Linked DNA regions of Xenopus tropicalis. The protein of the gene in region 5 purifies or fractionates together with the protein of the main gene of each other region. This does not show direct contact. Links are inferred from orthologs where the notes say so. Each region holds a gene or a part of one and is shown on either strand. Other genes may lie near its edges.

What was found.
Region 1: the proteins of sympk (region 5) and cpsf2 purify together in Homo sapiens (co-immunoprecipitation; 8 studies listed by BioGRID and IntAct, with this or other methods). This does not show direct contact. The link is inferred for Xenopus tropicalis from reciprocal best matches to the Homo sapiens genes SYMPK and CPSF2.
Region 2: the proteins of sympk (region 5) and cpsf4 purify together in Homo sapiens (affinity purification with mass spectrometry; 4 studies listed by BioGRID and IntAct, counting the BioPlex papers as one, with this or other methods). This does not show direct contact. The link is inferred for Xenopus tropicalis from reciprocal best matches to the Homo sapiens genes SYMPK and CPSF4.
Region 3: the proteins of sympk (region 5) and cpeb1 purify together in Homo sapiens (affinity purification with mass spectrometry; 3 studies listed by BioGRID and IntAct, counting the BioPlex papers as one, with this or other methods). This does not show direct contact. The link is inferred for Xenopus tropicalis from reciprocal best matches to the Homo sapiens genes SYMPK and CPEB1.
Region 4: the proteins of sympk (region 5) and cpsf3 fractionate together in Homo sapiens (co-fractionation; 6 studies listed by BioGRID and IntAct, with this or other methods). This does not show direct contact. The link is inferred for Xenopus tropicalis from reciprocal best matches to the Homo sapiens genes SYMPK and CPSF3.

The regions. Positions count from the first base shown.
Region 1 is NC_030684.2:87,345,226-87,350,724, reverse strand, and holds the end of cpsf2 (cleavage and polyadenylation specificity factor subunit 2), read right to left. Parts: intron 5,484-5,499; coding exon 5,331-5,483; intron 5,201-5,330; coding exon 4,975-5,200; intron 4,341-4,974; coding exon 4,038-4,340; intron 2,821-4,037; coding exon 2,686-2,820; intron 1,746-2,685; coding exon 1,653-1,745; 3' UTR 1,520-1,652; downstream 1-1,519. UniProt on the Homo sapiens protein: Component of the cleavage and polyadenylation specificity factor (CPSF) complex that play a key role in pre-mRNA 3'-end formation, recognizing the AAUAAA signal sequence and interacting with poly(A) polymerase and other factors to bring about cleavage and poly(A) addition.
Region 2 is NC_030685.2:47,252,969-47,259,165, reverse strand, and holds the end of cpsf4 (cleavage and polyadenylation specificity factor subunit 4), read left to right. Parts: intron 1-549; coding exon 550-702; intron 703-1,152; coding exon 1,153-1,248; intron 1,249-1,307; coding exon of another isoform or gene 1,308-1,337; coding exon 1,338-1,431; intron 1,432-2,103; coding exon 2,104-2,176; intron 2,177-2,260; coding exon 2,261-2,431; intron 2,432-4,666; coding exon 4,667-4,735; 3' UTR 4,736-5,081; downstream 5,082-6,197. UniProt on the Homo sapiens protein: Component of the cleavage and polyadenylation specificity factor (CPSF) complex that play a key role in pre-mRNA 3'-end formation, recognizing the AAUAAA signal sequence and interacting with poly(A) polymerase and other factors to bring about cleavage and poly(A) addition.
Region 3 is NC_030679.2:94,722,587-94,729,292, forward strand, and holds the start of cpeb1 (cytoplasmic polyadenylation element-binding protein 1), read right to left. Parts: upstream 4,453-6,706; 5' UTR 4,377-4,452; coding exon 4,362-4,376; intron 1-4,361.
Region 4 is NC_030681.2:137,816,026-137,821,705, reverse strand, and holds the end of cpsf3 (cleavage and polyadenylation specificity factor subunit 3), read right to left. Parts: coding exon 5,671-5,680; intron 5,571-5,670; coding exon 5,462-5,570; intron 5,012-5,461; coding exon 4,913-5,011; intron 3,982-4,912; coding exon 3,887-3,981; intron 3,585-3,886; coding exon 3,497-3,584; intron 3,318-3,496; coding exon 3,248-3,317; intron 2,863-3,247; coding exon 2,766-2,862; intron 2,223-2,765; coding exon 2,118-2,222; 3' UTR 1,940-2,117; downstream 1-1,939. UniProt on the Homo sapiens protein: Component of the cleavage and polyadenylation specificity factor (CPSF) complex that plays a key role in pre-mRNA 3'-end formation, recognizing the AAUAAA signal sequence and interacting with poly(A) polymerase and other factors to bring about cleavage and poly(A) addition.
Region 5 is NC_030684.2:70,983,550-70,989,746, forward strand, and holds part of sympk (symplekin), read left to right. Parts: intron 1-1,845; coding exon 1,846-1,911; intron 1,912-1,988; coding exon 1,989-2,042; intron 2,043-2,138; coding exon 2,139-2,212; intron 2,213-3,030; coding exon 3,031-3,157; intron 3,158-4,995; coding exon 4,996-5,245; intron 5,246-5,328; coding exon 5,329-5,499; intron 5,500-5,670; coding exon 5,671-5,913; intron 5,914-6,066; coding exon 6,067-6,197. UniProt on the Homo sapiens protein: Scaffold protein that functions as a component of a multimolecular complex involved in histone mRNA 3'-end processing. Specific component of the tight junction (TJ) plaque, but might not be an exclusively junctional component. May have a house-keeping rule.

The DNA.
Region 1 (5,499 bases), about 16 Mb from region 5:
AAGAACATGTTTACAAAAAAGAAGAAAGAAATCCTGTTTCTTTTGATAGAGGATTCAGTGCAGCATTACTGTAAATGCATATGGCTGTATTTACATAGACCTATCTGATAAAGCTTACTTAGTTTTTACCTTTCCTTCCCCTTTAAGTACAGTTATCACCTCTAATAATCCTCATAATAAAATCTTATAAGCAATATCCAAATTTGCCTACAGCAGGAAAAAATATTTCTCACTTAAATTTACAGTATATGTATTAATAACTTTTATAAATAGATTCTGTTGAAAAATTATTAGTTGTGCGTGGCAGTACATTTTCAGGAAAACACAGGTACTTTTCTAAAGTTGCAGAAGCGCCATGAAGAATAGGTTTCCCTGTAATTTGTGACATTCTATGTTTACTGAAAGCATGAAGTACAAGATAAAAAACCTGCAGCATGTAAAGAGTTAAAGGGTTTACTTCCAGTACAGATTTTTTAATACCTTACGTAAGTGATATATTAGATATACACAGATATAGCACTAACTGAATGTGGCAGCAGCACCTAAAAAGTGCTAAGGAGTGTTGGAACCTGCATGGTATATACCAGTGTTCCCCAACCAGTGGCTCGTGAGGAACATGTTGCTCCCCAACCCACTGGATGTTGCTCCCCGTGGCCTCAAAGCAGGTGATTATTTTTTAATTTCTGGTAAGGAGGCAAGTTTTGGTTGCATAAAAAACAAGTATAATGTCAAACAGGGCCTTCTGTAGGCTGCCAGTCCATGTAGGGGCTATTAAGTAGCCAATTATAGCTTATTGGCACCCCCAGGAACCTTTTTCATGCTTGTGTTGTTCCCCAACTTTTTCCATTTAAATGTGGCTCGTGGGTATAAAAGGTTGGGGATCCCTGGTATATACACTCTGTTTACAGGGCTGCCCCAAGAAAGGGATAAGTGAACATCCTGTTAGGGGCCCAGACAGATGAGATGAACCAGATTCATAGGTCCCCCAAAATACTTGGAGCCTGGTGCACAATTAAATGGTTTGGAGCAGATCAGGGTTATGGTTATGTGTAAGAGTGTTTCAACAGGGCATGGCTATTTATAACAACAATAATTTTAAAAACTGAAGCCCACTGTACTTTGGCTTATGACTACTTTAAATTTTAAATCACCAGGTATTTAACCCAGGTCCAGACTCAGACTCAGACTCAAACCAGGCTTTGGTATTTCAGGTACAGAGAGGTCCAAACATGCCATGCCGCATCTTTACTGCCAAACATGGTGTGTTAATATCAAACAGAGCAGTCGTAAACTCCAATTAAACCTGTCCCAGCCAGGACCAACGAAGCAGGAACTTCCTCCAATGAGAACAAAATTTAAACTTAATAGCCTTCGCTACCTTTACATGTTTTCTTCATGTTGTTATCTACTTCATAAAAATAAACTACTTTGATCCTTGTGAAAGCAAAGAGGGGAGAAAGTAATTGTGTGTGTTCCTGGGTAACATATGAAATTCCAACCAAAAAGAGGACAAACTGGATTTGTAACATAAATTATAATTTCAACGGTTTTCTATGCATTTTCCAGGTTAAAAAAAATATAAAAAGAAAAAAATGAGCATGGACAGTCCAGAAGTAATTTTTACATGGCATGCCTTTTTAAATGAACATTCTTCACACGATGGCATATTGTTCATATAAAAGTTCTCTTATTTTAAAAAAGTCCTCACAAAGGCATCCTTCTAGACCAATCCGACCAGTTTCCGTCTGCAAAATAAAAAAAATGATTGCATTTTATTTTACACAAACACAAATAACATTACACAAACAAAACGATTAAGTAAAAAAACAATTAAATGAAAATAATGTGAAGGTACTGCAGAGCATATTTTCTGGTGTTTGTGTAAATGACTCATTTTCAGAAAAGCAAAATAAATTAACAAAATGCACTTTTTGTAATAAGGCAAACATCCCAGGATTATATTAAGACCAATGCCACCTTAAATGCCTTTAAAGAAATACTACATTTTTATACAGATTTCTGATCCAGACCCTCTAACTAATAGGGCTACCATATTTTCAGTTCTTTTACTTAACTGATTGATCACTAAATACACTATAAGATATGCCAGTAAGTTTCAAAGGATCTAGCATCAATGGGCGATCAAGTGCCTTGAAGTTTTGAAAGCTTTATGTGCAAGCTCCTGCTCTTCTAACTTTACTTTCACATCCATCTCAGATGAATCCATGGTCCTGGTCGAACCGAATCAGAATCCTTAAAATTATGTGACTTTTTGTTACATAAACACAGAAGTTAAACATTTTTCCACATGCACAGGGTTCTTTTTATCCCGTCAGTAGCTTGATTTGCATATGCATATTGGATTCGGTTCAGCCATTCAGGGTTCGTCCGAATCCCAAAATAGTGGATTTGGTGCATCCGTATGCGCTTTATAAATAAAGTTATACATACGTACATAAATTTAGAGCAGCTCTTACTGAAAATACTCAAATATAAAGCAAATTTAAGCCCACATCAGGTGTATTTTTACATTTTATATATCTAGATCTGTTCTCTTGACAAGTAACATTTACTAAATAAAAGTAAATAAACTAACTGCATGAAATAATATTGGGAAGAGACTGAGGAAGAGAACTTCTGAGCTTGGGATATAAAACCAAGCAATTCATTAAGTTCTGGACTTACCCTTCGGACAGCTACCATATTGTTGCACACTAGCACACCACCAACAAATTCAGCCTGAATCCCTTCCCGCAAAAGGACTTGTTTGAAATCTGACAGTCGTGGTTCATTCATGAAAACTGACTGGTGTCCTGGGACCTGTAAACAGTAATAAATGCATGTTTACTGCAGCCACAATGAGGGCTTTAAAATGTCTAATTTTTTTTTTGTAATCTTTACTGAGGCAGTGATTTATCATAGCTGTAATTGTATTTTGCACTTGTAAAACTTTATTTATATTGTTCCAGCATTGAATCCTTTTTCCTGCAAATGAAATAGGCATGAGAAGCAAGGATTTGGATAGGTGGCAGTTCTCAATGCTGAGACTGGGCATTATAAACCCATGGAGGAGAATAACATTGTTGCAAAAGTAATTCTATAACGTACAAAAAAGTTAATTTAATGGTAAGCTTCTCCCATAAATAGCAGCACAGAATCATCATCTGGTTGTGCAAATCCCTAGGATTATCACGAAGCATATTTAAGACTATACCGAAATCATTTCTATCTTATAAGTAAAATTATTTTGTAACAGTTATAAGCAGTGCTACGTTTAAGCTTCATTGACACATGATTGATCTAGTGAATCCTAGTCAAGTCACAGTTGCATCTAATGATTGACCTTTGATCGATGCACTAAAGCTGCATTCTCATCCAGCTTCATTAGATAAGAGTGTTAACTATCTCTGGAATAACCTAAACTACTCAAATACTACTTCCATATACAAACACAGGTGATACAGAATATAAGAAATATGCAAACATCATTAGCTAGCTGAGTAGGTAATTTAAACACATAAATAATAAAGAAAAGACATTAGTAATGTCTACAGGCAATGAATGCGCTACTTTGGCACTTTCTACCTTTAATCATGCAAAAGAACATCAACACACTACAACAGCACAGAGCTAAAATATGCACCCCTGAAAAGCACTAACTCCACTGCAGTGTTTCCCCCCAAAGCACAAAACTATGATCATCTCCTAGAACCAGTAATAAAATGACTTGCATGCTGGATACTTCTTGCTGCCGCTCTGTTAAGAATTTTGAAACTGGAGAAAAAAGACATTACAGGTAAAGGATCTATTATCCAAAAACCATTTTAAGCCAATTTTTTTTTTTTTTTAATTTCAGTTATTTCGTTTTTTACTTTAAAAAATAAGACAGTACATTGTACTTGATGGTAAGCAAGCTGCATAAATCCATGTTGGTGGAAAAAAATATGACGATCCAAAAATTCTGGAAAACCCTAGGTCCCAAGCATTCCACATAATAGAGCCCATGCAATTACAATCACTTAACATATATTGCAAACCTCATTGCTTGGTAATGGCTCCAATGTTGGGATGATCTCACTTTCTTCTGAAAACTCTTTGTCATCATCTCCAAACAGGCTTTTAATGGCCTTTTGCTGTGCTATTGCGCTGGCATCCAAAGCTTGAGTATCCACTTGCATTTCTGAATCTTCCCCTTCATCTTTTAATTCCCCTTCTTCTAATATGACCCCGGTGTCTACTTTTGATACTCTCATGTCCAGTACCCCGTCAATCCATGCCAACTCTGTATCTTTAGCTTTGCAGAACTTAAGGGAGCTAACCAAGGAATCTTTCAGTCTTACCTGAACAAAAGAATCAAACTTTTAGATGATTGTATTTACAAAACTCAACCTAGTACAAGCCATGGGATGTGCAGCAAGCACCCATGCATCACATGCACAATTTTAGCATACTCTCCTTTGCAGAACTACTCACACATTGATAAAGAATAACCAGAACATGAAAAACACACAAAATATGGAAAATACCGCTTCTATTGTTTTTCATGTGGTATTGGGTGATCCACATAAAAAAAAAACATCACATGGTATAATAACAATTTTCAAAAAAGACAGTTTCCTATTTAAAGGAACTGTTCAGTGTAAAAATAAAACTGGTTAAACAGGCTGTGCAAAATTAAACAAAAAAATGTTGTCAATAGTTATTTAACCCAAAATGGAATCTATAAAGGCTGGATTGAACAGATGTCTAACATAATAGCTAGAACACTACTCCCTTCTTTTCATCCCTCTAACCATGACAATTAAAGGGGGGGCCACATGGGAGGGACAAAACTATTCAGTCAGCTGGCTTTTGAATCTAACCTGCATGCTCAGGATTAAAAGGATTTATATTTACACTGAACTGTTTCTGTAAAGAAATAATATTGTTTACATAGCGTAACATAAAAAGGAATAATCTTTTGTGCATGCTCACTTGGTAAATGTGTGTTTCACTTGTTGCATCTACAGTTTCATGTAGTTTGGGGGTATAAACTTTAATATCTTTGCCACCAAATGCTCTACAAGCTTCAGCAAGATCCTGAGTTGCATCTGGAGGGCCGTGCACAATAATCAACTGTCTCGGCTTCATTTGGTTTATGATCTTTTTGATGGAGTCACCATCTGAGCGGCCTTCATAATCAATATATGTGACTCTTGCCCTGTTATGGAAGAAAAAGCAAAAGTTTAATATGAAAGACTTCCATACTAAAAGTGAGACTATCATAGGGCATAAAGTATTCACTGCTTTGCACTAAACTACTTGGTACAAATTGTTTTAAAGTCACTAACTTGATTTCCATTGATTCTGTTGCTGAGATACATTTGGTTGGAACATCAGACAGGTCTTGGTCCATTGGCTCTTCTCCATTTGTCAAACCTGACTCTAGCTTAGTCTTTTCATCCTCTGTTGCTTGCAACTCAGGTACTAGGAAATCCTCAGGCCTAACGTTAAAAGTGA
Region 2 (6,197 bases), on a different chromosome or scaffold from region 5:
TTAATTGATTTATATTGCAAAATTGCTTACACTTTTTGAAAAGTACATCATTTAAGTTGTGTTTGGGTGGAGTTCCCCTTTAAATTATTGTCCACAGACACTTAGCATGAAGTACAGCACAGGGGTGTATTTATTAACATTGGAGATAAACATCACTGGTGATGTTGCCCATACCAAGCTGATCTTTGCTTTTGCTTTCTAACTTGTAGGTGTTTGTCTCCAGTGATAATAAATAATCCCCCAAAATGTTGTTCTTTTGGATGCCCTACAATAGATTGCAAAATATATGCTATTATAAAGAATTAAAGAAATATAATATACAAAATCACTTTATCTCTCTTTATTTCTTTTATATTAGGGATGCACCATTTCCAGAGTTCGATCCTTGGACAAATAAAAGCATTATTTTAAATTGCAAATTAGGGTCCCAGTTTTTGTGGGTATTCTGCCAGTTTTTGAAAATTATGGATTCGGTGCATCACCAATGTACATAGGTAGAGAGAGAATAATATATTTCACTTTTTTAAACTATCTGTCTTATCTGTGCAGGCGGAATGTGTCCGTTTAGACATATCAGTGGGGAGAAGACAGTGGTCTGTAAACATTGGTTACGAGGCCTTTGCAAGAAGGGAGACCAGTGTGAATTTTTGCACGAGTATGATATGACTAAAATGCCAGAGTGCTACTTCTACTCCAAGTTTGGTAAGTGATTGTATTATTTAATAGGTTTTATTGGCATTAAAGTCTATTTTTAAAGGTTATACCTGTGGTGGTCAGTACCTCACTCTTTTTTATATTAAAAAGTTAATGTTTAATTTATTTCTTTTTGTTCTTTTTTCTTCCATAACCAGTGGTGCATGTATTGGCTTATATTATTAACCCTTTACACAAAGCTACTGGGCAGTGTGGTGTATGTTAGGGGATATGGCCAGCACAATCCAGAAAATCTGAACGATTCTTAACAAGACCCCTTTCTAAATTTTTTTTAAGGATTAGTGCACCCACTTTTTCATAAATTCAATGATCAGAGCTTGTGCTAAATATATATATTTGAAGTAAGAATTATGAATGCTTTTTGATTGTTTTCAACCAGATAGCTAGTTTGATAATTACAGCATATTAGTTGAATTATTTTTTGTTTGTATTTGTTAGGTGAGTGCAGTAACAAAGAGTGCCCATTTTTGCATATTGACCCGGAATCAAAGATAAAAGACTGCCCATGGTATGACAGGGGCTTCTGTAAGCACGGTAAGATTATAGGACCTTATAAAATCTTTGCCATTTTATATTGTACAAAGGAATGTCAGTGGCCCTTAATTTATATTATGTCTTTTCAGGGCCCCTCTGTAGGCACCGGCATACTCGAAGAGTAATTTGTGTCAATTACTTGGTGGGATTCTGTATCGAAGGCCCTAACTGTAAATTCATGCAGTGAGTACATTTATTTTCCATCTTCTTCACATGTACTCATTTAGTGACTTTCCAGACATGTGGTATTCATACCTGCTGAATTTGTGTTCTTCCCAAATAACATTTTATAGATTATATTTAGAAAATGTTTGTGTCAAATAGTGAAGGGTAGGGAATTAACAGAATTTGCACAGGTCTGTGCACTCCAAAACAAAGCACAGATATCTGTGTCTGCCCCATAAAATACATTGCTGCCTGTGGTCAGCAGTTCTGTATTTGTGAGGGAGGGACTGGGATAAGAGCTTTTTATGATATCCCCTAGAAAAAAAAAAAGCTCAAATGATTTATAGATAAACTTTTAGTATTGCCTTACTATGTTGTGTTTCCATAGGAGTAAACTGTCAGCAATCTAACTCCACTGCTTTTTTGTATTTGGCCCCAAAACTTTGTATAGGAAAAATGGGGACATACCAGAAGTGTTAGTGTCCCTTTAATGGACAAAGTTATATATGATGAAGACAACCATAGATTTGCTAGTGTTGCCTGAACACTAGCAAGTGATTGTTAAAGCTTATTAATGAGTGTCTTCATTATAATACCCCTTTAAAAAGAGATTATGCTGGAAATATTATCAAACTTTTATGGGGGTTATGAGGGAATTAGACTTACTGTTTTCTTAATATAATTCTGCAGTCCACGTTTTGAATTACCTATGGGAACCACAGAACAGCCGCCTCTACCCCAGCAAACACAGACTCAACAGAAGGTATTTGTCTATTTACACTTTGCAAACTTACACTATGCAAAATTATGGTTTAAGAGTTCTTACAGGTTTATTTTTTATCTCCAGCAAAATAATAACCAGGTGTTACAAAGGTCATCCTCACTCATTCAGCTAACAAGCCAAAACTCTCCTGTCAGCCAACAACGTTCCCCACAGACAATCGGTGTCATGCAGTCACAAAGTGGCAACCAGGGGAACCGGGGACCTAGGCCACTGGACCAAGTTACCTGCTATAAGGTCAGAATTTATCTAATGTATGATCTTTATCTATGATCTTTAAAATAATAGAATTGTTTTTTTTAAAGAATCATTCTGCCTTTCAAAGCATTTGCTCTGTTGAAAAGTTCACCATTGAAAGCTTCTGAAATCTAAGCCCAGATAAATGATTTGTGTTAACACAGGGGGTAAGCCTGAGATATGCAGGGGCATTGCACTTGCTTTTTTTTTTAAAGCACAGCTCTAATCACTGATGCAGTGATCACATGACTAGTGATAAGTGAATCTGTCCCGTTTCGCAGAAAAAATTGCGAATTTTTGAAAAGATTCACAAAAGAGAGGAAATTCTTTGAATTTTCTTGTGGGAAAGTGGGCATCCAACCATTTTAGAGGCTGTTATACATTAATTGAATGTCTATAACTTCGGCAAAGAGAACTAACCCCTAAAAACAAATATGAGCAGAAATGTCATACTTGCATCTATAATTAGCACATAAAAATATATAGCTAAGAAGTAAAATGCACATAAATTTAAAAAATTCAATTGGAGCAGTAGCTAAAACAGTGGCAGGTACTATATTTATAGATGGTTGTACTAACAGGGCAAGAAGGGAAACTACTAATATAAAGAAAAGAGCACCTCAAATAATATGCATTTATACAAATACATAAAAATATTAAAATCAGTACAATAAAACCTTCAAGAGACTAAATCTGATACATTGTCTAGGTAAAGACCATTTATCTGAATTGCCAGACAGTCACATATGAGATATAATAGTGTATGTGACTTTCCAGATTCTATACCTGTAGTGAAATACTACAGGTATAGAATCTATTATCAGCAATGCTTGGGACCTGGGGTTTTCTGATAAGGGATCTTTCTGTAATTTGAATTACCTTACCTTAAAGGACAAGGCAACGCAAAATGTAATTTTTTGCCTAATAAAACAAACCAAAATTCTAAGCACCTTTGCAATATACATTTATTACATGTTTGTAATGGTTTTTGAGTTATTTGTATTTATAATTGCTATTAGAAGCAGTGTTTGCCTGTCCTTTTCTATTCTCTGCTCTGGTGGCTCTGACTGTTGAAACATTGTAACACAAGCCAGCAGACTGACAGACCTGACTTGCTGGAGAAGCAAGACCTTTGCAACATTGTTTAAACTGTAACAACCAGAAGTTCAGCAAATGCAGCTTTCAATAGCAATTATATTTACAAATAACATTTTTAAAGCGCTACAAATTTTTAATTATTTCATATTGGAAAGTTGCTTAGAATTATTATGGTTTCTTTCATTATGCAAAAAATTATTTTTGGGGTTGACATGCCCTTTAAGCCTTCTAAAAATCATGTAAACATTAAATAAACATAGTAGGTTTGTTTAGCCAATAATATTGGCTAAACAATAATAATAATAATAATAATAATATTGGCTTAGTTGCCATCCTGTAATTCAGGATATTGGATTTTAGGATAAGGGGTCCCATACCTGTAGAACATACACATTTGCTGTCCAAAGAAATAATTGCTGATAATTTGTACATAAACGGGACCTGTTATCCAGAATTCTTGTGACCAGATAAGGGGTCTTTCTGTAATTTGGATCTCCACACCTTAAATCTACTAAAAATGTATTTAAACATTAAATAAACCCAATAGGATTATTTTGCCACCAATATGAATTAATTATATCTTCGTTAAGATCAAGTACAAGGTACTGTTTTATAATTACAGAGAATTAGATTTAAATGGAGTCTATGAGAGATGGCCTTCCTGTAATTTGTAGCTTTCTGGATAAAGGGTTTCCGGATAACTAATCCCATACCTATACTTGTTGATCCCCAACCTTTTTTACCCGTGAGCCACATTCAAATGTAAAAAGAGTTGGGGAGCAACACAAGCATAAGACATGTTCCTGGGATTCCAAATAAAAATTGTTATTGGATGTTTGGTAGCCCCTATATGAACTGGAAGCCTACAGGGTGTTCTGTTTGTCAGTACATCTGTTTTTATGCAACTAAAACTTGCCTCCAAGCCAATAATTCAAAAATAAGCACCTGCTTTAAAGCCACTGGGAGCAACATCCAAGGGGTTTCGGAGCAACATGTTGCTCAGGAGCCACTGGTTGGGGATAACTGGGTTACACCCTAAGAAAAAAATTGGTACAAAGCTCAGAGTGCCACTGCACTTAATCTATATTCAAGTAGTTAATTTTGGTATTAAATGTTTCTTTTTCTTTCTTATTGCAGTGTGGTGAGAAAGGACATTATGCCAACAGATGTACAAAAGGTCACTTGGCTTTCTTGAGTGGGCAGTGACAAGTGGTTTGGGGTATGGACATAATTCTTGTAAGGACGCAGTGGACAGACGTTTCCTTTTTAATTTTGACATCAAGATGCTGGAGACTTTTCCTTGTTCTTAAGTAAATATTGGGATATTTTCTGCTATTTACTCTGAGCAGTTTATTGGAATCTTCTCCTGCCAAGAACTGTTTGGCAAAGTGAAAGTTTTTGCCAGTAACTATTTTTTTAAATAAAAAAATGTAAATGTATTTTTATTTCTTTTTATTTCTTTAATATAACTTTTGTACAGATTAGATCAAATGCCAACAGTTCTCTTGAACTTAACATTGTTAATAAAATCTATTTTAGTGATGACTGGAAACTGATTACTGTATCTTAATAGACTTCTAATGAACTAACCAGTGTTACCTATTATTTTAGAAAAAAATGGGTCAAGTTTGATTGAAAACAAAATAGTCATATGAAAAAGTTTGGGAACCCCTCTCAGTCTGCATAATAATTTACGCCACTTTCAACAAAAACGGTAACAGTGGCATGTCTTCATTTCCCAGGAACATCTGAGTACTGGGATGCTTTCTGAACAAAGATTTTTAGTGAAGCAGTATTAAGTTGTATGAAGTTAAATCAAATGTGAAAAACTGGCTGTGCAAAAATTTGGTACCCTTGTAATTTTGCTAATCAAAGGCTATAGGAGGTGTGTAGAGGCTGTTACATTTGCAAAAGGAGGCTCAACTAAGTATTGATGTAATATCTTTGTTAGGGTACCCAAATTTATGCACCTGTCTAATTTTGTTAAGATGCATATTTTCTGTTAATCCAATAAACTTAATGTCACTGCTGAAATACTACTGTTTTCATAAGGCATGTTATATATTAAAAGGAAGTTGCTACTTTAAAAGCTCAGCCAATGATAAACAAAACTCCAAAGAGAAAGAGAGGTTCCCAAACTTTTTCATAAGACTGTACCTTTATTACCCCATTATGTTAGCAGACATGCTCCTTCTGACTCCATATATACACTACATTCTATGGATAATAGGCTCAGAGTGCCACAGAATGTAGATTCGATGTTCTCCAGCACTTCTTGGTGTAAATATGAGCCACTCCTTTATTCCTTTGCCCCAAGCAAAAAGTGGAAGGGAACAGGGCAAAGTAACTAAGGGGCTCCTAGCTAGTAGCAGACACATGGAAACAATATGCCAGCACTGGACTGGAAATCTGTAGGTTCTGGTAGCAGCCATTGGGGCTGCTGCAAGGTGCCATAGACAACCACTGGGCCTGTGCAGTTCTGTTTGGGCATCTCTGTACAGTGCCAGGGCCTTTTTGAATCTCAGTCCAGACCTGTCTCCAGGGTTGAAGCCAGTGCGGTGCTCACCATTATTGCAGCTGTCAATTGACTATGGCCACACTCACCACATGCTTACATAAATACCAGTGGAGACAGATTGTGTTGACCACTACAGCTATCAGTGGAAAC
Region 3 (6,706 bases), on a different chromosome or scaffold from region 5:
CAAACTACTCTTCACAATTACTGCTAATGGAGGTCACAACTGGCCAGTCAAAAAGGGATCAGAGTTAATGGGATACTGCCCCCAGATTAAAGGGCATAACTACAGTCCATATCAAAAAGGAATCCCAAACTCACTACAAAAAAAAAAAAAAGTTTATTCAAACATCCATATTTAAAAAACAAATACAAACTCCACAGGATTCCGCCTTACACGTTTCGTACCCTTCTGGTACTTAGTCATAGGCAGTTATTTCTGCAAGTGCTTATGGCTAATTTACATAGACCTTTCCGATAAAGCTTACTTAATTTCTACCTTTCCTTCTCCTTTAAAGCATCCGAAATATGAATAGAAGTCATCTGAGCAGTTTAATACCATAATAAATGCAATATCAAGGTTTCACTGCATATACATTTCCCAAATTTAAGTTCCCCCATATTACACCTTTTTTATGGCACCACCAATGATACATAATACTGATTTTATGAAACAAATCCCAGTCCCCTGAAAAAATATAAAAAATAAAGTGGGGGTTTCAATATACATACACTACACTATTTTGTACTCTGGTCCCTTAACCCTGCCAACCAAAAGCAGCCACATAGCTTGTGTAATAAAAATAGACCAGAAGATGGAGCTACTGGGGAGAAAGACAAAGGGATCTTTATTGATTAAGTGCTATAGTAAACTGATACAGAACCAAAGTTCTAGCTTTTTTGCCGATTAAATCAAGAATGGTTTGTTATGTCCTCAAAGGTAAGGTATGCCCAATAGTGATGTTTAGATTGACCCTCAAGCCACGGGACCTGTGGGTTTACCCTTAGGTTAGGCGGGTCAGAGCTGAAATTTGGGCGACCATTTCAGGTTCAGGATTGGTACAGGTCAGACTTGGGAAGTACACACTTCCTCTGCTCCCAAATATTTCCTTGTCTTGAAACCGTGCAGAAGTAGCATACAGAGAAGAAAGTTGAGGCTACAGGCTGGGTCCTACAATGGCAACATTTTGCAGGTTAGGGTGAGGTTATGGTTTTGAGGGTTAGGGTCAAATGTGGGTTAAGTTTTTCCTGACCTGAACTAACACCCAATGCTTATTTCATACTTTGGCATCAAATGCTCAAAAACCTACTAAAGCCAATGATTTCAAATACACTGCACATCTAATTCATATATTGACTTTCAGACTAGCAAGTTAAAAATTTTTTTTTTTTTTGCAATTAGCATCACCCATGTGGCAACCAGGGATGGGGCTGCATGTGCACAAGTAAAAGGTTTACCCATGGTAAAAAAAAAAAAAATACATGTCAAAGAGTGGGAGGGTATGGCTGCTGCCTTGGTACAAGTATTACAATGTAACAAAATAAGCAGCACATCATCATACAATATCTGGCAGCTGCAGTTCTGCTGAACAGTTCCTCAAAGTTTTATATCCCAGTTGGGAGAATTAACAGCGCTGCAATCCTGTCACACTATAGTTGTTGGTCTTCATAGTAGGACATACTGTGACCCCTTCAGCATCAGGATACTCCTTACCAAGCTAATTACCTCATATACAAATAGGAAAAAATGGGCCGCTTCACACAGGATTTGTGACAAAACTCTGATTTGTTAGATGTATAACAAGACTGACGTTTCGGCCGCTCCTGCAGCCTCTCTCAGTTTGGCTTCAGGAGTGGCCGAAACAGCAGTCTTGTTATACATCTAACAAATCAGAGTTTTGTCACAAATCCTGCGTAAAACATGGCAGTCATGAAGAGGTGCAATGGCTGAGCCTGACAAAGCCATTCAACCGTCTGGCCCACTTGGCACTGTGTGACTGGTTTCATAGAGAAAGATGAAAACCTTTACATGAAAAAAAGGTACAAAAATGCCTTAAAACCCAATGGGAGACTAATACATGTCACCAACAGAAAAAGGTTGCAACGGGACAGAATTTTAGCTTTGAGACAAATTCTGCATCTGCAGGACAGAAAAACAACATTTGCAAACAATTTGTCCTGCAACAGACAAATTATGTGCATATATAGTTGCGCAAGTGCCAGTGCATGTAAAAGCATCCTAACCAATTGTCACATTAAGGTTTCCACCATCTTCAATTGTTAAGGTTTGGCAATGCAATAAATGCAGTGTAATAGGTGCACTATACATTGGCAAAAATGCCATTGTACACAGCACTTGCTATTTTTAATTACAATCCCCCCCCCCCAATATTTTTTAAGTCCAACCAATGTTTCAAAGAAATAGGCTTCACTTATTTTATCTCTAAATAGAGTTTGGAAAAAGGAGTAACATCACAACGGCTGAGGGTAAGGCGGCAGGGACTGTTTAGCATCCCGTGTGGAAGTGGGGTACCATGTTAGACATCCCTATGGTACCCCACTTACACACTGAAGCCAGCAATGGGCTTAAAAGTCTCCCTCAGCATGCATTGGGCCATCCCAGTGTCGGGACACGCCGTTTCCTAAAGCTTCGGAAGCTAAAGAGAAGAGCCTACTAAGCAGCGGCTGCTCCCGCAGTTCCATGGAAAACTGTTTCTCTGACACGGAGGCTGCATAAGCCCAGCTGCACGTACAGTGCCCCTACCATTCCAACCAGAACACGCTCACTAGCCAACTACAAGGCAGCTGAAGTACCTGTCGGGACCACATGGCGTAGGGCTCTGGCTGCAGCTTTCCCGCTTCCTCCCACCGCATGCGGCTCTCTGGCAACGGGGCGGGGCCACACGTGTGCGCACACGAGGCGGCAGCACCTGCAACTGCGCGCCACCCTCACACCCACTGTGCCGGTTACCTGTGTGCACCCTAGCGCACTGCCGGTCACCCGTCCCCTACGCCATAATCGCCGCAAGGTTATGTTGTGTGTGTTTTATTGAGCGCAGGGAATTAAAGGTTTGTATTGCAGGTCACTGAAACCCAATGTTCAAGCATCAGTCAACTCTGCAAAACTTGTTCCACCGAAGGACAACTACAAGTTCAGTTATATAAACACTACTCTAGCTCCTTACAAATACACTTCTTTATGCCCCTGTTGACATAACTCAGAGTGTAAGGCTTAGGCTTCTAATGTTAGGAAAAGTGTAGGACTGTTGTCCAACTAGACGTGAACAGCCGCCATCTGCAGGAAAGCTACATATAAACGGGCATCTTAGGACACTTGGTACCGTTACCAGTTGGCAAGTATAGCAGCAGCATAAAGTTCTGTTACTGAGAGTCCGTAAAGTGCATTCCATCATAATGCTTATTTCTGGCGCCCCCACAATTTGCGGCGTCACCAGGGTTTGCGCCCCGGCGAAGGCGACCGCCAGTATATTAAACGTAATGCAGAGATATAACTATAAGGTCAAAGTCACTAAATCACCAAGCCAATGGAGCCCTTACTAAAGCCGGAGCTACACATGCTTATCCCTCATGCTGGCCTGACTAACCACCATCTGCGCCTTTTGCCAACACCATGCCGGTGTATGTGCAGCGCCAGCAACTGGAGTCTGAGCAAGGGGTAGGCTCAAGGTATTACTTGGCAGGGACGGTGTGTTCTCCACGATGCGATTGATTCCACTGGGAATTGTATCAACCATGCAATCAGCCTGCAAATAGTAGTGGCCAAGATCCGACCTATGCCTGTAATGCAGGGGAAATACCGTGTATCCGAGGCACGTACAGTCGTTGACAGCCAGACCTTCTAGGCAAGCATGTAGGTTTGCAGGGAAAAATCTGTATATTGAAATAACACATTAACGCGTGAATGCCATTACTGTAGACAAATAACTAATTTGTCTCCGATATCAGGGTTCTAGAGCTTTCTGATGTCTAGGCAGCAGTTCCCCAGTTGTTACTCCCTGAGCCCCAAGAGACGGAGACCAGTTCTGCTCCAACAATAACTGGAAAGCTGCAGGTTAGATGGCCTACTGTAGGCCGAGAACACACCGACTTGCAGCGATAATACACTTATACAAGTATATATGTATGCCTACCAGGCATTTCATCTATGCAGCCATGCTTTCATCCAAGACTTAAAATAGCTGACATTGCCAGTTTGTATTAAATTAAGGTGCTTTTTGCAGACTACTCGGATTTATATAAAGCCATTTAAAATACAAGTCATTTAAGTGAATATTAGTCACTCAGCATGGCTATCCCAGGCCTCCCGCAATACTACTAGCCTAGTGGCGCAATGCAGTGTGCATGGAGTAATTGTCACGCACAGCATGAACCTCCGCCACCATTTGCACATAAGCACAAGTTAACGCAAAACTAGCAAGTAAACACACGGATCTAGTATATAGTCCATTCCAATTTGGCTGCACTCGTATTTAAGGCCATACCTTCACTACAACCTCCAAATACAAACTAGCGTTTAAACTGCCTTACCAGTGGGAAGGCCATGGCACAGGATCCTGGTCAGGGTTGGGTAATTAAAACTTAAATCCAAATTGGACTTGCATGCAGTGACTTTTTCCCCCACTAGACAATGGCACTGCTTCGGTCTCGTATTTGCAACAGCCAACTGGGCCGGGAGGGGCGCATTTATAGCCCCTGCCCCCAACTGCTGTGCGGCTTATTGGCTGCACCTGCCGGGAGAGCGCTTGCTAAAGGGGAAGTAAAGGTGCTGCTAGGGACGTGCTGCTTGAGTTGCCCACTGTGCTGGGGTAATGGGAAATTGTTCTGGCTCTGGTTGTTCATGTTACTTGTAGCAACAGGTTGTTGTGTTTGCAGTGACAGTAATACTTATTATACTTTGTTAGTTGTTAGGATTATGCGTTGGAGACGAAACCTATCGGCGCTTTTATTAAAGAAATAAATAAAACAAACGAATCAATATGTTTATTTATTGCGCACCTATTAGCCCTGGCCAGATTGCCATGTGTATACGTTATACACGCAAACCCGAATAATGTATGGATAAAACCTTGCTCCATTCTTTTAATCCGTGTTTCTGAGTGTGCGCACATAGAACGTTTTCTTTATTGTCAGAATTGGCCAAGGAGATGGATTTAAAGGCTAACTTACCTGACACTTTCCCCAAAACGATACAGTAACCCAGAGCCTAGGGGAAGCAGAGAGCAACCTATATGGTAGAAATACTGTGGCGTGGCTGTACCAATCTTGTGAATGTCAAGTGTCAATAACCCTTTAAAGAAGTTAGAATTCCATATTGTATGAAACAACGGTTATTTTTAGAATGTTAGAAATCATACTTTGTTGCACAAAAATGCTCCTAATAACTTTTCCAAAATCTAAATAGGCCTAGGACTTTTTATACTATGGTGAAACCCACTGGATTCAGCATAGCTGCTAACTAATGGGTATGAAGGTCATACACACACTTTTAAATACAGGGACTTCTCACTACAGGCTTGGCATACAGTTACAGTGTCAGCGGCATAACTATAACTTACTGGTATACATAGCAAATATTATTTTAGGCTAGTGCCACATGGGGCAGATTCTTTTCCTGCACATCCTCAGGCCGAGAATCTGCCCCTACCCTTCAAAAATCTGAAAGTGTTGCCTGTGTGTCTCAGCCCAATAGGATAGTTTTGCCACCAGTACAGTTTTATGCAGCTTAGTTACCACCTAAAAGAATCTAATGTTTTATTATTAAAGAGAAAAAGCAAATCTTAAAATAAATAAATAAATAAATAATTATTTGCTTACATGAACTCTAGAAATCTGGATATCAGGTTTTTGGATATAGGAGCTTTCTGGATATCATGTTTCTGGATACCTGTGGACATTTTTTTTGGGTGCCATAAATAGCCCCCAAAATGCTACAGAGCTTGGAATCTACTCAAAGCTATTTATCACTGCCAATATAGATACTTGTATATTTGTTCAGAGCATTTTTTGAATTTATTTCAGAGAATTTTCTATCCACTGTACAAAGAACACAGAGTGGTGCTCAATCATTAGACACTTTATTGTTCCATCTCTGTTTGTGCTTGGGCATATTCCTTTTCTATATGCACATTTGGCCTACATGTGCAGCTGGAGGACTATGTAATGTTTGCCCACACGAAAGCATGAACTGAAGTACTGGATCACAAGGGACTTGGAAGGGAGGTTCGGCACCCGTCTTTCAAGGTTAGCCAGTGGTTTCCTACATTTTTTGCATGGACAGCTTGGGTACAGGTAACACCATGATAAATACATTTTTGAGTTTTCCGCATGGGAATTTTCAAGATTTATCATTAGAAATTTAAATAAATAAAATTAGGCTGCTAAAACGTGGTGATCTTCTATAGAAGTCAGCAGAAAGTGTATTTTGAGCATTCAAGCTATATTTTTAAAAACAAAGTTTAAAAAAAATGATTAACTGTGACTTCGAGTCAAGTTTTTTTTTCCAATTTAAAGTTTTCAGCAATTTTCTCAGTCTTTGTATTCCAATTACCAGCGACTGAATCAATTTTAGTCAGAATACATTTAAACCAGCAGCAGCGTTAACACACTTCATTCATTCTTCTTGCTTCTTTCAGGCACTGAGCAGCGGCGCCATGATCACATGATCTAATGGCAAATATACGTCATGTTAATATGTTACCCCTTATCAGGGAACATAAAATAAAAACAAAAAACATGCTCTAAGCGGAGAATAATTAAAGGAGACATATTGGATGAATGGAAAAACTCTAATTTTGTAGGCAATTATGAATAATACAGTAGTAAGCTTATGGAGTGGATGTGGATACAATTCTCTCCTGCTAATAGGATAATTA
Region 4 (5,680 bases), on a different chromosome or scaffold from region 5:
GTCTATGGCAGGGGATTTTCTGTTATTTAGTAGCCTTGAAAAAGTAGCTGCTACTAGTAGCTCTGTGTGTCTTCACCCTTTGGGCAGTGGCACACAGGGAGATTAATTGCCCGCAAACAAATCTTCACTGTTGCGGGCGACTTTTCCCCCCGAAATGCCATCCCACCGGCGATTTACATACTCGCCGGTGGGATGGCATTTCGGGGAGATTAGTCGCCCGCGACAAGGGAGATCTGTCTAATCTCCCCGTCTGCTACAGCCCTAAGAGGAAACTTTGGGCGACTTCCGGAAATCACAGCGACGCATATGCCTTCCCACCGGCGATTTACATTCTAGACGGTAGGATGGCATTGCGGGGAGATCAGTCGCCCGCGACAACAAAGATTTGTCACAGGGCAACTAATCTTCCCGTGTGCCACAGCCCTTAAAAGGGAAGGAAAGGCTAAGTCACTTGGGGTGCCAAAATGTTAGGCTCCCCCAAGTGACTTTAACCGCTTACCTTGTACCCCGGGCTGGTGCCCCTGTTAGGGGAAAAAATCACCAGTCTGGGGTACCTGTAGGAAGCGCTTCCTCCTTCCTCTCTCTTCTGCCGGCGAAATCCATCGGTCAGCTCATGCGCAATAGAGTGAAAAGCCGACTTTCTTGTTTAAGTTCGGCTTTTCACTCTACTGCGCATGTGCGCGCAAGCGAAAAGGAAGGAGGAAGCGCTCGCTGCTACCCCGGGCTGGTGCTGTTCTCTCCGTACAGGGGCACCAGCCCGGGGTAAAAGGTAAGCGATCTAAGTCACTTGGGGGTGCCTAACATTTCCTTCTCCTTTAAGCAAAACCTAGTGATTTCCAATTTGAACCTTTGGGGAAGTCAGACATGAAGCACTTATTCCTCAAGTATTGTTTCTCCCTGCAGTTACATCAGCCAAAGGACCAGGGAACTTCAGGCTTGTTGGTGAAGGAGCCCTGCATCAGATTCTTTCAGGACTAGGTTCTGTAGACCCACTTTTAAGGTCAGAAAAAAAAATATGGCAAGGTATGACAAGTACGGGATCCCGGAAACCCGTTACCTTCCCTGGAGTTCATTTTAAGCAAATAATTCTAATTTTTTCTCTATAATAATTAACAGTATGGTAACTATGCTGCATAAATCAATATTGCTGGCAAAACAATGTCACTGGGTTTATGATAGCAATGGTGCAGTAATAGCTACCCAGAACTTAAAGGGAGGTATATTCTAATCTACTGCGAAAATATGTGAAATGGATCTAGAAACTAGCCAGCTGGAAGGGATAAACCTGGAATATAATGTCTCCTGTAATACGGACGAGCAGCTGCTTAAAAATATTAATGACCATCTATTTATGTAAAGAGAATAAACCTAAATAGAATGAAGTTTAATGTATGGTCTAATTTTTTCACCTATAATATTATAGTTTATTGGGGCTCAAAGCTCTCACAGTGCTAGCCTGAGTCGTGCAGTGCCTGTGGCCCCTTTTCAGTGGAATTATGTAGTTGTTGGGTAGTGTTCCCCTTCTTCTCTATGTCCTGCACCTAGTAGAGAAAAAAGCCACAAGCAGACCTTATTTACATGTACTGATTGCTGGATAGTCTGCTTGAGAGCACTGAGCAGAGCAGGGGAGCATCGGGGAACACTTCCATTATCAGTAAATGAAGCCTTTGCCATAGTGACTGGCAGAACAGCAGAGGGCGCTCCTGTAAATCAACCATCTTCTGCACTTTATTGTGTGTTGTATTATGTGCAGGCTGCACTTGAGCCTCGTGCTATGAACATTCTGCCCTGAGAGGCACCTCCCGGCTTCTCGGTAACCCTTAGTTCCGACCCTTTCTTGTTTAAGGTGGGACATAAGCAGCTCTGGAATCCTTCTGTACAACCGTTTGCCAAAGTGCATGATGTATAAGGCGCTTCCACAATAAACAGAACACCAATATATGAATAAAGGACAACTCTGATATTATTTATAAACCAATCACAGTGTTTTTAGTGATAAATTAATGACATTTTGTGCTTTACTTCAGAACAGTAAGTACAATTTGATTTACATCTTACAAAGGAATGAAAAACATTTCATATTAAAAAAACAAACTACAAAAGAATGGCATGCTGGTTTAGAGGCTGGCTGGGCAAAGGGCGTCATACAGTCTCTGTGCTGCCTGCTGGACCATCTCCCGCAGGGTCTCGTCCTCATCAATTCCTTCCTCATATTCCACAGTCTGAGGAACAAAACAGAAAGTCAATGAGATATTCTCAGGTTAGGGCCATAAGCACAGCTGCCTTTGGGGATTTCATACAGGAGTGACTGCCCTGGAACCACTTTCTAAGGAACCCTGGGGGGCAGTGGCTATACAGGGTAATGCTGTAAATATTCCAGTGCTCCCCCTGCACAAGGTGGGGTCGTCACTACTGGAGAACACTTGGCTCTATGCCTTACAATATTTGCCCCTGCTCTTCCCTTGTGTCACAACTTTTTATCCTTCTTTATTTCATTTCCATGTAAAACCACCTAGAAACCCTGGTTTATTTTCCTCCTTTTCCTTCTCCGCTTAGGTGCACACTGAGAATTAAACCAAAACTGTCCTTTCAAATCTAAGCAGCCCCAATAAATAGTGACTGTCTATGGTGTGTTTACCAGAACCTACACATTGCCAGACTGGGCCTGTTCCAATGAAACAGCTTGAGTTCAGCCATCTTGCCTGGCAAAAGTGCTCATGGAGGTGCTATTCTTTTTCAAATCTATGAAATGTTAGGACACCTACCCGTGTTTCCATGGACAAAATGGCGCTCTTTCCATCCACAGTGACTGTGATACTGCTGGCATCCTCGCAATTCACACAATCGTCACCAAAAATATCCCTGAAATGAAGAATATGAAATATTTAGGAAAGCCATGTGTAGTTATTACAGCTGTGAGCTTGGTATCTACCAAAGCCCCATAGACAATCTGGGATATGGAACATCTTTTCAAGGGGTGCCAATGTACTGGGAGCAGACTTCGATGGGGGAATATGTGTCAGGAACAGGGATCTCCGGATGCAAGTGGTGGTTGTGCGGTTCAATCACCACTTGCATCCAGAGATCCCTGTTCCTGACACAGACATTGAGAATTAATGTTTGTTCTGGGTAAGGTAATGTGAACAATGGGTTCCACAGCTGGTACCAACTAAAGTAAGTGGGTCACATTGGCTCTAGAATAATGCTGAGGGGACAACTATGTTACCATATGGAGAATATGCCTTACTGCAGCATCATCTCCAGCCTCTTCCTGTAGGCGTCCATATCCACTTCCTTGGATGCTCTAGTGGCTACAGCTGCAAGAGACAAAGAAAATACATCCTGTTTGTTTATTGTACTGACAAATAACCATTTATCAACCATCTCATTAGCCTATAGGGGGGGGACAGTTTCTCTAGAGTTGTTGGTTCCTTAGTTGTACTTCCATTTAGACAGCTGGGAGTAAGCACAAGACAAATCATTATGCAACACAAACCTTTATTGGCTTTTGGATTAGACTGAAGCTCCAAGATGACTGTGATTACGGTGTCTGCATACATGTCATTGGCTGGATTTGCTACCCACTGAGAGAAAGAACATTGCACATGTTAAATGAATATGAAATACAAGCCAAGTGCCATTACCAACTGGCCCTATAAATGTTCACAGACTCTTTAAAGCTGATATTATCCCTTGGGATCAGGCACATTGCCAGATACATTGCCTGTTTTCTATATGGAGAGTGGGTCAACCCAGATACACAATATGGCAGCTCCACTCACACTGATAAAATACCAGAGCAACCATAGTGGGTACCACTATTACAACTGTTTCTCCCACAAGGCAGATATTAGTAGCAGGGGAACAGAGTGAGATATAAAGTTACCTCCAGGTACACCATCCCAGCGTCCCTCACAACAGTGACAGCTTTGAATACCCTCAGTGCATCTTTCTCATTCACTTCAATCTCTTCCACATCCCCTGAAAGGAGAGAGAGAAAGGCTTATTATAGCAGGTCTGCCTGATGCCCATGCCCTGGCAGCACCTGTTGGTTTTAATGCCAAGTCCTATACAATACATGCAATATACATTTCTGTCATATACATTTTCATCATTTCACATGATATTGAAAAGAGATGGGGTGGCTACAAAGATTGGGGAACAAGACATGGAAATTAGGGAGCATGCAGAGAGGTCAGACAGACTGGGAAATGAGTATATAGTATGTAGAGATGAATTGGAGATCAGGGGGGAAGCAGGGAAAGGCCGGCAGGTTATGGGACAGAAGCAGATGGCATATTGTATTTGCCAGTTGTAGCCATTCTCTCTATATCAGTCAGGAGTCCCTACCTCATTAACCAATATGGCCGTATCTCCCTATAATACAAACTAGATGTATGCTAGTGTGCAACACAGCTGACATGGAAAAGTAAATGTATTTTAAGGACAGGGCTAGCTGAGTGGTTTCCCTGCTCTCCAGTCTATAATCAATAGCTCCCAATAAAACCCGTCACTTGGGAGAATGTTGGTGATAAAAATGGATCACCATTTGGATTGCAGTCTTAGGTTTGCCAAAATGGATCCTACCCTCGGGGCCCTGGGTAAGTCAGAATGCCTCATTTCCCAACCTAAGAAAACATTAAGTACATGGGGATAGACTATCTACTGTCCTTCAGTGACAGGTTCACTAAAACAGCACCCTCAATGACCTTACACATAACAATATTATATAATTTCCACTTTAACTAGGGACATTCTCAGACACTGGGGCCCCAGGGCAAATGTAATGTTTTATGGCTTTATCACTCAATGCGATTCCACTGTCCTGTATCAGCCCATCACAGAAATGAATGTCACAGGGGTCAGGCAGGGCAGAGATGACCCTTTGTGTATATATAAGAAAGGATGTTACCTGTAAGCTGCTGTAACTGGCAAGACAGAAGGTTAAAAGGGCCAGTATATGGAATGGCCTGTTTCTGCGTGACGGTGCTCATGGCCAAGTCAGTATAACCTACAGACAGAAAAACAGAGAATTACAGTTAGCTATACTACATTAAATCACATTACATTAAGTTGATTAAAGATGACATATACCTTGATTTTAAATATAATGTTATACAATAGAAGGAAATACATTTGTTTAGCATACCATGTCATTCCAGTTTCTATAAAAACCCTGAACAATAATCTACCGTAGCTCCCCTTACTCTCACTTTCCCTTCTTATTGTCTAGCAGAGCCAAAGCAGCCAGGGGCTCTATAATATACATGACGTTCGTATCTGCAATACTGGCTCTCCCCTGTCTTATTGCAACTCAAAGCAACCAATTAGTGATTAATTTCTTTTACCCACCTGGAGGTAGAACAATTAAAACCAAACATTTGATTTGTTGCCATAGGTTACTGCCCAAGTGCAAATTTGCCCAGTGGTAATAAATGAGCTGCACTGCGGCTTCACTTACTAGAGAGGTCACTGGGACAAAGTATGTGATAGTTAAAGTTCCTCTTCACCAGGATCCCTGAAATCCTCTGTCCTTGCTCTGGCTTCTTGTCTGCCAGTAAACCCATCACCTGGTGGACAGAAACTGCAATGTGAATCTGAAAATGCCACCGAGCAGCAGTTTGCATTCCAAAACCAACGTGGGCCCTGTCTTTCGGGGCAGTGCTGTACCTTTGCCAAC
Region 5 (6,197 bases):
TCTGAGGCAAACACAGTTTGTACCAGTGCAGAGCAGCAGTACATTATATTGGAATTTCTTTTATACACTTGAATTTTTTGGTTACTGTTCCTTTAAATGAGATCCTGGAATATGAATAGGAGAGGGACTGAATAGAAAGATAAGGGAAAAAAGTAGCAAGAATATTAAAACTGTGAGCTCACAAAGCAATAGTTTTTGGCTGTCGGTGTTAGCGACCACCATTTCAAAGCTGGAAAGATGTAGACATGGAAGGTAAATAATTTGAAAACGATAAAAAATGAAGACAAAGGAGCTCCTCATCTTGGATTTTGTTAGATGTGTATGTGACACATGTTAAGTGTGCTCTAGTCAGCTGTTAAAGAATGTTAACCTTTAAATGAATATGAAATTGATGAGAGCTTTAACCCCATTATCCACTTAGAGTGGGGCTACTTCTTAATTCCCCCCCCCCCTTTTTTTTTATTTTCTTCTCTTTTAAAGATAAATGCTGTTTAATACGAAATTGCTTTATTCTGACATCCACTCTATAAAAGTTAAAATGCAAATAAAAATTATTGAAAAGAAATTGATGAGAGCACTATTCTAAGCACTTTTGCACTTAGCATTCATTTTTTCCCCAAGATTTGAAGATATTAAGGAGAATGTGTACTGTTAATTTGAATTCATTTTGTAACAACAGCACTAGCTGCTGGTCTGTTTCCTCCTCTGATGTAGTCAAGGAAATTATTAGGTGAAAGATGGTCGAACATAACTTCTCTTACATCTTTCCAAACATCATCATTTTAATATAATCTGGTCCTCAAACATGAAAATGAGAAATTATTGGCCAACTACATTTAATAAATTAGACAGGACTGCTGTAGTAGAAATCACTGCATGGGCTTAGGACTGCTTCCTGAAAATGATTTTGTGTGAACATGGTTAGTCATTGCATCCACAAATACAAGTTAAATCTCTACCACGCAAAAAAGAAATCATAAATAAACTTGATCCAGAAAAACAGCAACTTTCTCTGGACCCAAGCTTATTTAAGATAAACTGAGTTGAAGTGGTGAAGGCTGATGTGATGTGTCCTGTGGTCTGATAAATCAAAATTTAAAATTCTTTTTGGAAATCATAGATGGTGATCATAAATGGTCCTTCTTTTGGGCTAAAGAGAAGGACAGCCCTGCTTGTTATAAGCACACAGTTTAAAATCCAGCATCCATGATGGTATGGGGGGTGCATTAGTGCACACAGAATGGGTAGTTTGCACATCTTGGAAATTATGTTGAAAGATATATGCAGGTTTTAGAGCAAACTATGCTGCTATTCCGATTATGTTTTTTTTTTTTAGGGAAGACCTTGCCTGTTCCAGCAAGACAATGCCAAACTGCATTCTGCATGTGTTACAACAGCAGTCTAACCCTGTCACCCACTGAAATTTTGCACAGTATGAAATAAAAAATACAACTGCTGAGCAGCTGAAATCCTATATCAGGCAGGGGTTGTTAATAGAAGAGGTGATGCAACACAGTGGGAAACATGCCCCAGTCTCAACCTTTTTAGAACTTGCTGCTGGCATTTAATTCAAAATGAATTTGTCATGTTTAATGGGTAAATCTTACAGCTAACCAGGAACACACTGTAGAATTTACCAGTAAACTCATATATAGGAAGGCTTGCACTGTAATTGCACAATGACAGCAATCTCATGCTAGTTTGGTCATCGTCCAAATTATTTCTTCCTTTTAAAATCGCCAGGCATGTCAGTCAGCGGGTAGCTGGTCACCTGTTCAAAAGCAAACATGTTATTGGTTACTATGGGTTACTGCACTCAAAATTAATAAATATTTTATATTTTAGGTTGTGGAATTATTGAATATGGCTGCTCTTGCTACAAATGATTCCAAAATTACCATGCTTAAACAGGTAATAATCAATTCTTTATACCCTGTTTGCCAATACACAAAAGCAGAGAAAAGTCAAATGTAAAATTTTATTCACAGGTTCAAGAACTCATAATAAACAAGGACCCCACTTTGCTGGACAACTTTCTTGATGTAAGTGAGAATTCCAGATTGTCTGTGGTGTATGTTGAATTTTTAACACTCAGTAGTTTAGTGTTTTTAATGTCATTTTTGATCTTGTTTGTATAGGAAATAATTGCTTTTCAAGCAGACAAATCTGTAGAAGTCCGAAAATTTGTGGTAAATTTCATAGAAGAAGCTTGGTGAGTTAACACAGGAACGTAAAGACTTTCATTGAAATACAAAGGTATTTGTAGACTAAAAAGCATGACAACTTCAAAATAAATGTTTTGGATATAACTGGATCTGATTGGATAAAAAAGGGTTTAAAACAATATAATATATGTATAAAAGAAGCTATCTTTAACCTAGACACTGGGAATCCTCTTAGGGGTTGCTGCAGAAGTCATACCTAGTTGCAAATGAGTCACTGGGGCGGAGGGGGGTTTAAGGACATATTGGTATATTGCTATATGCCCTTACATACTGTATACATATATGCTATTCTTACATACCTAAACAAATGTTTCTCAAATAAATGTAAAAGTATTATGTGAATATAATACACAAAAACAATGTACCAAGGCTTATAAAACTGCTTTTCTAAATAGCTAAGGAAATATTTCACAGTTGGTCCAGGTATAGGATCTGTTATCAGGAAACCCATTAAAAAGTTCTGAGTGACTGTGAAGGCCATCTACCATAGACTCTATTTTAAGCAAAGTTCTTACATTTTTTTTTATTTCCTATGGTTTATTCCCCCCCTCCACTTATGTTACTGTATAAAAAGCAAAATAAAAATCAATCACATTCAGTTATATACTTAGAGATTGGCTATCATGATTTTACAATATCAGTATAGAATAAACTGTGATTTATTTCTAAGTATCCTTTTTTGTATTGATATGTTATTTAGTTCAATTGGTTTACTTGTGTCTAAAAACTTTTTTTCCAATAACAACTTAGCACTGATACTTGTAGGCGACTTTGCACTCACTCATCTTTACTTCACTCTTGCCAGTAAACTGGACAATGAGCTTCTGATTAAATTAATCGCCAACCTTCATATGCTACTGAAGGATGAGAATGTCAATGTGGTGAAGAAGTCCATTTTGACCATGACCCAGCTGTATAAAGTGGCCCTTCAGGTAATAATGTGTGTTAATTATTTTGTATTGTCTTGAATTACTTATTTATTGCTGTACACTGTTCATTTTAGGTATTTTACTCACATTGCCAAATTTTAATTAGTATACATTTATAATGAAAAGGTAAGTAAGCTATGATATTGCAGGGTTTTTTATTTTAGATTTTGAAACACCACGTAGTAGAAGAACTTTTTAGGAAACATAGCTATAGGTGTAGACACCTATGGAGAGGGCTATATCTCCCAAAATGATTCACTGTTGCATGACATTAAAGGAGAAATAAAATTACAATCATTGGGGGGGGTGCCAAAATGTTAGGCGCCCCCCAATAATTTTAATCACATACCTGAAGCCCCCAGCTGGTGCTCCTGTTGGGAGAAAACTGCACTGGCCGGGGTGTGCATGAGTGAGCATTCCTCTTCCTCCTTTGGTCTTCGTACATGCGCAGTTGAACTTTTTTTCATCGGTCGGGATAACTATCACTGGGGAGTGCCTAACATTTGCCCCTCCCTACTGATTTAGCCTTTCCTTCCCCTTCAAGTACAAATAATATCAGTAGGGATGCACTGAATCCAGGATTCAACCAAGATTCAGCCTTTTTCAGCAGGATTCGGATTTGGCCAAATCCATGCCTCTGTTCGAACCTAATCCAAATCATGTGACTTTCTGTCAAATAAACATGGAAGTTGAACTTGGTTCCCATGTGCTTTAGTTCAGAGAAAGTATATTGTAGAGAGAAAATTATTTGATAACATTTTGGCATACACACATCCTACAACACTGGCCATGCATCTTGGGTATCTGATGGGAAATTGTCATATAGCAAAACAATGTACAAAAAGCACGAGAAATGCAATTGTAAAATCCTGGAAAGTTTCACTGAAGCCCCTATCAAGGTAGGCTTTGGAACAACTGGATAGGGGGAGACACATGGTCCTTGGGGACCTTGAACCCCAGCTTCACAAGCAAGTCTTGGCCTTCTTCCAGCTACCGTGTGTTGCCTGTTGTTACAGTTGAAGGATAGGCGGAATTGGAAAAGCCAACGATACTGGATCCCACTAATCTATATTTACCCCAATGTTCTGACCTGGAATGATGGTCCTTAGGCTCAGTCACATGAAGACTGAAAGGAGGCTTTGCATTATTGATTAACTCTACCACAACTTCATGCCCTTTTATATACTCTAGAGCATATATGTCAAACACAAGGCCTGGAGGCCAAATCCGGCCCACCTGGCTGTTTTACATGGCCCTTGGTGAGTGTGTCTGACCATCCAGCCTGATCAGTTTCCATTTTCCTCACATAGTAACTAATACTAAGGGGTATATTTATCATGCTGTGTAAAAAATGGAGTGAAGCATTACCAGTGATGTTTCCCAAGGCATCCGATCAGTAATCAGATTTCAACAGTAGCAAAGCATTTATTGGCTGCTATGAGCAACATCACCAGTAATGTCCACTTTTTATACATTGTGATAAATATACCCCTTAGTATCTTACTAAGTATATTAATAAAAAATGTGGCCTGCGACTTAGCCTGTGTTTTAGATTTCGGCCCCCTTATGTGATTGAGTTTGACACCCCTGCTCTAGAGCTTTTACATTTTGTAAATGTTTTGGGAATTTTGCCAATAGTAATTAAATTGTGTTGTCTGTAATCACCAGGTGGTATTTCATAGTGCTCAGAGAATTGGCTTGTGTTCATATTTATATTTTCATCATAAGTTGTCAACTTTGGACTAACATTTTTGGAAGTCTCTTTGTTTCTTGCATCTTTGTCACAGTGTAATTTCTATATCTCCTTGCTTCCTTTTCTTATTGACTGATCTTTCCTGCAGTGGGTTGCTCGCTCCCGCCCTCCATCTGAGCAACAAGAATCCTGCTGGGACCTTGTAACTGAGATGGCTGCAGACATCCTCCTCTTGTTGGAATCGGATAATGATGGCATCCGCACTCATGCAGTAAAGTTTGTAGAAAGTTTGATTGTCACCTTGTCTCCTCGTACCCCTGACAGTGAAGTTCCAAAAAGACAAGAAGGGGACATCAGCCTAGAGCAGATCCCTTCTGACCATGCATTCCTTAAATATAGTGAGTTTATCAATAACTTTTGTCTCTTATGACCCTTTAGCATATATTTTTCTCCTACATTCTCCTTGCCCTTTATTCTTCAGATACACTGCGAGATGTAGGAAAACAGGCTGTGAAGGAACTTCTAAAGTTTATGGCTCACCCTGCTATCTCCAGCATCAACCTTACAGCAGCCCTTGGATCTTTAGCATCGATTGCTCGACAGAGGCCGATGTTTATGGCAGAAGTTATCCAGGCTTATGAGACCCTGCATGGTACGGAAAAACATTGCATGCCCTATTCTAGACTTTAAATTCTCTAATCCCTAAATATTTAAGGCAACTTTATAAAAGTAGTGCTTCCTAGTAATACTGTGACCATGTGTAATATCTGAATCATCATACTTTTAATTTGCCATCCTGTAACCTCTCTCCTCACCTCTACAGCCAACCTACCCCCTACACTAGCAAAGTCCCAAGTGAGCAGTGTGCGTAAAAATCTCAAACTGCAGCTATTGAGTGTACTGCGTCATTCATCATCTTATGAGTACCAGGGGCCTATAAGTACTCTCCTGTTAGACTTGGGTACTAGCCAGGGAGAGATAACCAGACATCTTCCTCCGCCAAGGGACAGCAACCGGAAAAGGGCCAGGGAAGATGGTGAAGGGGGACAAAAGAAGAGCCGCACTGGTAAGATTAATGTTATTGTCAAAACAATACAGTAAAAATAAGTGTTTTTTGTTAGAACAATACAGTGGTGTTAAAAATTGCTTAGGGCAAACAGGTACAAAGCATAAAGATCGACTTTATCCAACATATCACAAGTCTCTCCTTTATATGCAGACATTCCACTGCCTGATGACGATGATGATAAAGACACAATACAGCTTCCCACCATTCCTGCTCCTGCACCAAGCACGCAGTCGGCTACAGACATCACAGCTGAATTCCTGCGCCCACTGCTTTCCCCAGAG